Oryzias latipes: one gene and its partner. The protein of the gene in region 1 purifies or fractionates together with the protein of each later gene. This does not show direct contact. Links are inferred from orthologs where the notes say so. Each region holds a gene or a part of one and is shown on either strand. Other genes may lie near its edges. The genes, in order: cdc123 and eif2s2.

Evidence for each region.
Region 2: the proteins of cdc123 (region 1) and eif2s2 purify together in Homo sapiens (affinity purification with mass spectrometry; 4 studies listed by BioGRID and IntAct, counting the BioPlex papers as one, with this or other methods). This does not show direct contact. The link is inferred for Oryzias latipes from reciprocal best matches to the Homo sapiens genes CDC123 and EIF2S2.

Annotation. Positions count from the first base shown.
Region 1 is NC_019881.2:2,947,124-2,951,577, reverse strand, and holds the start of cdc123 (cell division cycle protein 123 homolog), read left to right. Parts: upstream 1-1,474; 5' UTR 1,475-1,522; coding exon 1,523-1,596; intron 1,597-1,796; coding exon 1,797-1,868; intron 1,869-4,084; coding exon 4,085-4,148; intron 4,149-4,264; coding exon 4,265-4,297; intron 4,298-4,454. Other genes in the region: nudt5 (ADP-sugar pyrophosphatase), read right to left, coding at 692-805. UniProt on the Homo sapiens protein: ATP-dependent protein-folding chaperone for the eIF2 complex. Binds to the gamma subunit of the eIF2 complex which allows the subunit to assemble with the alpha and beta subunits.
Region 2 is NC_019865.2:7,389,710-7,393,968, reverse strand, and holds the start of eif2s2 (eukaryotic translation initiation factor 2 subunit 2), read left to right. Parts: upstream 1-1,150; 5' UTR 1,151-1,266; coding exon 1,267-1,281; intron 1,282-2,024; coding exon 2,025-2,205; intron 2,206-2,305; coding exon 2,306-2,418; intron 2,419-2,510; coding exon 2,511-2,643; intron 2,644-2,711; coding exon 2,712-2,812; intron 2,813-2,979; coding exon 2,980-3,128; intron 3,129-3,237; coding exon 3,238-3,294; intron 3,295-3,392; coding exon 3,393-3,478; intron 3,479-4,133; coding exon 4,134-4,259.

The DNA of each region.
Region 1 (4,454 bases):
CCATTTTTACTGTAATTTTCATAATTTATGTCCTTCATCATGAGAATTATGCCACAAGAATTTGTGAAAAACAGAATTTTCACCTTTAAAATGTTCCTACAGATGTAAAAATCAATCCATGTTTGTTTGGGTGGGAGACATCTAAACCACAAAAACTAATCTTTCTAAGGCAAAATAAAGCAATAATTCTGTTTATAATGGACTAATTCTTTCAGAAACCTTTGTCTTAGATTTAGAATACCACAACAAGGTAATCCCAGATGGCCTAAACAGGAGAAAATTAACTTTAAAGTAAAATAATCAGTATATTTTGACATTATCACTATAACATCATTGTTCCTAAAAATAACTCTAATAAGTTTGTTTTGCATAAAATAAAATGTATTTTGTCTATTATTATAAATTAAATGTATAAAAATTATGTAAAATTCAAAAGAAAAAGACGGGTTTCTAACTGAGCTTGTCCTAAACTGTGAAAATACAAACATAAAATACTTTAAGATCAACTAAACATGACATATTAACTCTTGAAAATACTAGCAAACTTATTCTTTATTTTATTTTAATGGGATTTCAGAAAGTGACAGACCTTTAAAGCTCTTTAAAGCTTCAGCAAAGTTAAAAAATGTGGTTAGATATTTGAAACTGCAGCAAACAAAATGCATTTTTCAGGAACAAACAAAAGACCAACCTCTTCTTTGACGACATGTGGGGTTGTGGTCCCTTTGGTTTCTTCGGGATTACTCATTTTTACAGTTTGGACGACTGAAGAGGGAACATAAGAAGGTAGAAAGTTCAGAAACATCGCGCCATGATGCTCCTCCAGCTCTCACACAAAAACTCAAAGCTACAAGCACACAACCTCAGCGCTAACAGACAACAAGAACCAAAGAAAAGCCAACAAAACGTGTGCAAACTGTTCTGACAGCGCAACAACAGCAAGACGCTTTCGGGACCCCAGATCCCCAAAGACTAAGAGTTTTAAATTTTAGTAAACCCGAAAATCTGGAAACTAAACTCACGTGAAAGCTGGAACCAGTGGGAGAAGACAGTAAAAATAAAAAGGCGGCTCACTCCGTACCTCTTTCTGTTGTCGTGGAAAAGCAATTTTTATTGTTATTGTTTTTCCAAAATGTATTAAATTTGTGATTATAATATGCTATACGTTCTTTAATATAAATTGGTAATTATTCATATGTGTACCACGTTTTTTGGAACAAAAATAATAATAAGTGAAACGTCTTTACAATCAACGATCTATGCCCTGCGTTTCGTGAATATGAACTGCAGACCGGCGTGTCCCTTCTAAGACTGTCCCCTCTCAAGAATTCTTACACAATTCCTATTAACTCAAATATACATACAATACATACCGTCAATATTTTTTTATGATTTTAAACCCGTTTTAAATAACACATATAGAAATAAGTTAACAGCCTGTGGCGTAGTGTTGTTTAAATTGAAACACGGAACTGAGGTCAGGGGTGGGAAGATTTTAAGTGACGGACGTTTCCTGTACAGCATGAAGAAGGAGCAGGTTGTTAACTGTCAGTTTTCGGCTTGGTACCCGATTTTCAAAAAACATACGATAAAAAGGTGACTTTTTAAAAACTACTACACTTAGTGCTACTGTAAAAACCCGTTCTAGTGTTCACTTTCATAACAAAACGTCAAGCTGGCGTCTGTATTTCTTTAGTTCAATTGTTGAACTTATGATTCTAGTTTCCCTATATTATCACCTACAATTTGCACCTTAAATTATATTAATTCAAATGAATGTTGTGCCTGTTTTCTAGTTTAATTCTTCCATTGCCTCAGAATGTAATCGACTATTTACTGGACGATGGGACGCTGGTGGTTTCTGGGAGGTAAGATTAAAAAAATCCAACACAATTTATTTGCTCTGATGCGTTTAGGTGCAGTGGGAAATCTGAAGTTTAAAAGAACCCGGTTTTATATAATTTATTCTTTTTTTTCCAGTTTGTAGATGTCTTGGCTTTTAACTGGTTTAATCTTGTTTTTTTTAATCATATCTGCAGGGCTTGTGACTTTGCTTGCTAGATTTGTTTTGTATGCTCTTTTTCTCACATTCTGAAATAGTAAAGAACAAAAAGGGTCAATTATGTTTTTATTTTTGATGTGAAAACTCACTGAAACTCTCTTCTTATGAAAACCAAAAATCAAGTAATTTTCTGATCTCCTAAAGTATCAGATTATTCAAAAATGTAAACAGAAAAATCAATTGACCTGAACCCCAGAACACTTTCACTATGAGAAGTTACACCACCGCTTTTGCTGGGTAATTATTTTCCTGATATAATATACCCAACAAAAGGACTTGTCAGAAAAAAATGAGTGGTTTTCTTTTGTTTCAACGGTGGTATCTGCAGCAACATGAAAAAGATAAACAGGAAGTTTCTAAAAACGTGCTCAAAAATTACTGAAAAACTGGGAATTTGAGAACAAAAAAAATTCCTAAAAATAATCAAAAGATACTAGAAATGTTGTCGTTGGTCCGGCCGTTCCTGGGACATGTGAGACTTCCCTGGGGAAGGCACAGACTCCTTCACACACGACATACTGAAATTCATGTAAATAGTTATGTTTGGGTGAAAATGACCCGGCGATGGCGCTTTGGGGTTTGGAGATGTAAAATGAATATGCCTTTGTTTCTCACCAATAACTAGACTTGTGTATATTTCTGCAAATTCCGTCTTGTTCTTTCTCGTCTGAGGATTTGTGAAAGGAAACAAAAATAACAGCAAAGGGTTATTACCATGTGAGTGGAAAGAAGATGAAGGACGGGATGAATCCTTTTCTCTTCATGGCTTCATGGCTTCATGCAGCCTCCTAAAAGATCTAAAAGGAAGTTGTTTTTTTACATTGAAATGAGGATCGGCCCCTTGAGTGAAACATATGTTAGCATGTGGATGTACGTCTGTATGGAATGATATTACACCAGCTAGAATTTCAATTAAAATTGATAATTAAAAAAAAGATAATGATAAAAAAATTAATGTATCATTCCACTTTAAATTAGAAATAAGTTAAACCTGAGAAGGCCAAAGCTGCTTTTTCTGGATTCATTTTCAGTAAAAATATAAATAAGCGAATGTAATTTATCAAATCCAATGAAATTATTTCCGCCTTTTTTACGTTCTTTCAGTAAAAAAACAAAAATAACAGCCTTTAGTTTAGTTAGTGTTTTATGAAAAAAAAAGATAATTCTGTAAATGACATCTTTGTTCAGTTGAAACAGCTAACGATAGAAAAACTTTTTCCAAAAACCAGTTTTGGATGAAAATATATTCGTCTTTTTTGAATTATTTTGAATTGTAAACCTCTGAATCCAATTTGAATTCATGTAAATAATTTTAAACCTAGTTGTGTTTAATCAGCAGGTCATAATCCAATCTGGTGCTAAAATAGTTAATAATAGTTTTAAGGTTTGTTTGTTTTAGTCCAAAGTCTACTGAACGTGGAAGCAAATGCTCATCTAAGCACAGTTTTATTGTTGGTTCATTCATCAGAGACCCACTCTGATGAAAATTGTGTTTTTGGTGTTTTGTAGCATTTTTCTCATCATGATGGACACATAGAAAGAAAATTGGGCTTAATATTCTGAGCATTTCTTTATTCCGATCGTTGTGAATCGGGGAAAAAGCTCTTAGATGTGACGTAGGCGCAATCAGCAGGCCGCCATCTCCCCGCTCCGCTCCATTCTGATGCATCTTCCAGACAGACGGATCCACGGACGTCTCCGTTTTCCTGGTCTCAGTTTAAACCTGTTAGGATGGATAGATCTCTATTGCTCGCCATTTTTGTGGCGCCGCCATTGTTAGTTTGGGAGTTTGAGGAGCTGTAAGCTAAATGGGTCTCAGCAAAGGTGAGGGGAAGGGGGGCGGGCTTGCCTCCCACGCCAATGGTCCCACCCACAACTCAGCAGGGAATTTCTCAATGAACTTGTGCGGAAACGATCTTGGAATTGAAAGAGCACTGGGAACGCTTTGAAAAAGGATCTAAGGATGATGGGAGCGGGACTTCAAACGTGTTTCACAAACGTTTGCCTTTCCTCTCCCGTCAGTGATCAGAACACGCAGCCGAGGCACACGGACAACAGCGACTCAGAGGACCAGGAGGACGTGCAGGTGGGATCACGCTTCGGCTTTAGACCAAAAATGAAACTCTCCAGTCTTTGATAACCGAGCAGAACAACTAATTGTTCAGCTAAAACCTTCTTCTTTTTCTTTCTCCTTCCTTCTAGTGGTCAGATGATGAAACGACAACAACAGTGACAGTAAGTTCATTTGTCTGCTCTGCTGTTCTGCACAGAGGTCACCTGACATCGGTGGATGATGATGATGATGAGGAGGAGGAGGGGGAGGAGGAAGAGGAAGGAAGGTTCAGTTAAACACCAGAGTTTCAATTCATAGAAGAAACTCCATCAAATGTCT
Region 2 (4,259 bases), on another chromosome or scaffold:
ATGTATGACAATCCCTAGTATTGTGAACTACAATTCTAATGTTATTTATTTCCATTTTAATTATTTTCCTTTTTATTTATTTCTGTTGTACGGTTAGGATTAGGGTTCTAATAAAGAATTAAAAAAATGTAAAAAGAAAACAACAAAAAACAACTAGAATCTTTTGGATCACTTGACATCAAAGGGGGCCCAGTTCTTGCCTTTATTTATTTTTTAATCTTTTGTCATTTTTTCTGTGAAACTGATTTTCAAACTCAGTAATTCAACCCCGTAACATGTAAATAAAATGGACAACTTCTACTTGCAAAGTAGTTTTAGTCTTTTAAATAAGTATGTTAAATCTGAACTTCATGACCTCTTCATAATGTTCAGTACATGAAGCAGCAGCCATTTTGTGCAAAAATCTCAACCCAGTCACACTCCACTCTGTTGTGTTTTAGTGCAACGGGGTTGAGAGACTGTGGCAAGGTTGAGATTTAAGAACTTTGATTGTTTGATAACGCAAGTATTTTAAAAAATGATCATTTATTACAATGGAAATTGCCATTCTGCTTCAGGCTGAACACAATTTCTGTTTCGTGTGAGTGGCAGAGAAGGAATCCAAGGGAAAATATCCACCCTTCACACTCACAGCTTTGAAACACGTCATACTTCAATTTGAGTCTGATTTTCTTATGGTTAATTAGTTATCATTATATACATAAAGATAAAGGAAAGTCCTAACACTGAATTTCATGATTAAGAAACTATACATAGGTCCATATTTGTCCCTTCAACCCTGTCACGATCTTCAACTGTTTCAACCCCGTAACACAAATATTATCAGAAAATAATTATTAAAAATAAAATAAATAAAAAAACATTTATGGTTTGTTTACATTTTTCCTAAAATATTGAGAATATCATATGATTTGGTTTTTAACAATATTCTTCAATTGCGATATACATAGAAAAAAATAAAATTTCAGTAAAAAAAATGACAAAATTTGACTACAAACTAATTCATTTTGACTAATGGAACAGCATTTTTATTTCCCTTAAAAAGTTGCAACAGTTTGTTTTGTATTGCATCAAATATTGTTGCTAATTCTTTCTAGTTGGGTGACGTGAGTCATGCGCCGTCGCAAAGAAAAGACGTCAAAATTCCTCCTCTTTGCGATTGCGCACTGTGGTCCGTCGCTGATGCAAGAAATTTTACGCGGAGATCTGAGGCTGGTCGAAGGATAAGAAGTTCTGTGATTTGTATCGTTTTTTCATTGTGCAAACATGTCGGGAGACGAGGTGAGTCTTCTTTGATTATCAACCATTATTCGCTGTCAGTGCCGTGACTTTTGGGATGCAGTTAGCGGAACTTTAGGAGCCGATTGGTGTTGAGGTGGGGCCTGGCTCCACACGATTCCCCTTGGCAGCGGCAACTCTCACATGGTGGCAGCTGGGCTAACAGCGGCCCAGACAGACGAATTAAACAAGAAAATGTCCAGCTCACCGCTTTTTGTTAAATATTTACTAGTAGATCCACCCTTATGGAACCTTCAACGTCGAAAAGACCAGTTAATTGATACAAAAAAGAAGTTAATGTTAGCTAGTAGTTAGCGAAGCGCGCGACGCTAACCGACAGTCACTTCTGTGTTAGCAAGCCCAAGCTACTCCGACTGTTCTGTGAAGAACAGACGATGACACAACTACCTTTTGTGTTTAAATACATTATGTAACTAATTTAGATAACAGAGTTGCTACAACTCTTCTGCCATTATGGAAATCTGAGAGCACAAATAACAGGAAATCCGATGTCACGTATTTATAACTATTCTGTGTCCTGCAGCCTGCCTGAACTGCTTAACTTGCTATGTGATATGCTGGTAAAATAATCATGTTTTAACCCAGATCAAACATGTCCGATTTTTAAACGGGTTTCATTAACTACAATTACTCTCCATGTCAAACTTCAAATTTTTGTAGGTATGATGTCGGCCTCATGACTGATTTCTTTTTTTTACCCCCCCCCCCCCTCATTTCATTTGTAGATGATTTTTGATCCTAACATGACCAAGAAGAAAAAGAAGAAGAAGAAGCCTTTCATGGTGGATGAGGAAGGAGGAGAGGGCGCAGGAGGAGAAGAGGCGAAAGAGGGAGAAGCAAAGGAGGTCGAGCCAGAGGTTGAAGAGAAAGAAGTGGATCTAGAAGAAGATGAAAGCAGGAAGAAAGGTTGGCAAAATGAATGTTTTCAAGCTGAACTAGACTTTACAGCTGCACTATTATGAATTGTTCTTGAGATTTTCACTGCACGCTACTTACTTGACATCAGTTAAATTTCTTTTAGAACCATCGGATGATTTGAATGACCTGAACTTTGCCAACCAGAAGAAAAAGAAGAAGAAACCTAAAAAAGTGTTCGATGATTTAGAAGAAGAATTAAAGGTGAGTTTTCTTTTTCTCCAACCAGTACCATATTCTGCAGCATCTTTACATGTTTCTCTAATTCAACTCTCTGTTCAATTCTAAAAATCCAGGAATTAAAAATTGAAGGCGAACAAACAAAGGCGCAAGAGGAGGACCTGGATTTGGTTCTTCCAACAAAAAAGAAGAAGCCAAAGAAAAGTGACTTTGATGAAGGAGGGAAAGAGTTGTTGGAAAACGATGAAGGTAGACATCAATTCCTGTTTGGCACATGAACATAAAGAAGCTGTTTGTGATTTTGATATTGTCTGCAGCACTGGAAGATGATGAGAGCAAGATCAGTGATGGGATTTCTTTCAGCTCCTCTACAGGACCTGCCTGGGCAGGCTCAGAAAGGGATTACACCTACGATGAGGTAAAAATCACCCAGAGTGTACAGATGTGTTCTGCAAATCTTGCTATTCGTATCCTCAAATGCATAATCTAACAACATCAAACCCCTCAAAATACAATTTTTTTTGGTAACAATGTTAGGATCTTGCCCTGTTTTTAATTCAACCCTATAACTCATGTCTCTTTCAGCTCCTAAATAGAGTCTTCAACATCATGAGAGAAAAGAACCCGGACATGGTGGCCGGAGAGAAGAGGAAGTTTGTGATGAAGCCTCCTCAAGTGGTCCGAGTGGGAACCAAAAAAACCTCTTTTGTCAACTTCACAGACATCTGCAAACTGTTAGCATCCGACTTTCCTTTTTTTATTTTATTTTTTCGCTCTCCTTTTATTTTTTTTATTTTTTCCCACGTAACTCTAAAACTGGCGTGTCATTCGTTTTGAACACAGGTTGCATCGTCAGCCTAAACATCTCCTCGCTTTTCTGCTGGCTGAGCTGGGAACGAGGTATCTGGAAAGCATAAACTGAGTGTAATTTTTTTTTTTTTTGGTACAAACAGTTTATGTCTGTTTTTCTAAAAACAAATGTTTTTGTCTGTAAACAGCGGCTCCATAGATGGAAATAATCAGCTGGTGATCAAAGGCAGATTTCAACAGAAACAGATTGAAAATGTGTTAAGAAGATACATCAGTAAGTCTAAAGTTTGTGGTTTATTACAGCTGAGTTAACCCTTTAAAACTCCGGTGTTGGCCTTCTTTCTGACAATCCCCATATTGGGATTAATAAAACCTTCTATTCTAAAGTATTCTATTCTAACTACTGTAACTCTTCGTCCGTTTATGCAATTACCATAAGGTAATTCAAGCTAATTCTAAAGCCTTCCGCAGATCTACAACACTTTACAGCAGTGACGTGCTTTCCCAGCCGATATAAATCAGGTGATTCTGTCTTGGAAAAAAGTGGCTTTGCACAGTTATTTAGCACTTAGCATTAGTAATGTGTTGCATATCAGTGCGTAGCCACTATGAAAAGCCGCTTTCTCTGCGTCAGAATCAGCTGATTCGCGGTGATTGTGTGAAGTGAATGGTCAGTGAGTTACGGTATGTCAGAGAGCACATGTTCTTTAGGTGGCACCGGTGACATTTCCAGTATTAAAGGGTTACCAGCATGAGAAATTTCAGTAACTAATAATGAATTAAAGGTATTTGGAGTTCGGAGATAAGCATTTTAAAAATTTTCACAAAGGAATTTACTAAACATAGGTCTTGTTGTGAGTTTCTAACATTACCTAGACCAATCACATTCTGTGTGCATTAAATAACTGAAACTTTTCTAATTTTTGCAGAGGAATATGTGACATGTCACACCTGCCGCTCTCCAGAAACCATCTTGCAGAAGGACACTCGTCTTTATTTCCTGCAGTGCGAGACCTGCCACTCCCGCTGCTCCGTGGCTAGCATCAAGGCCGGCT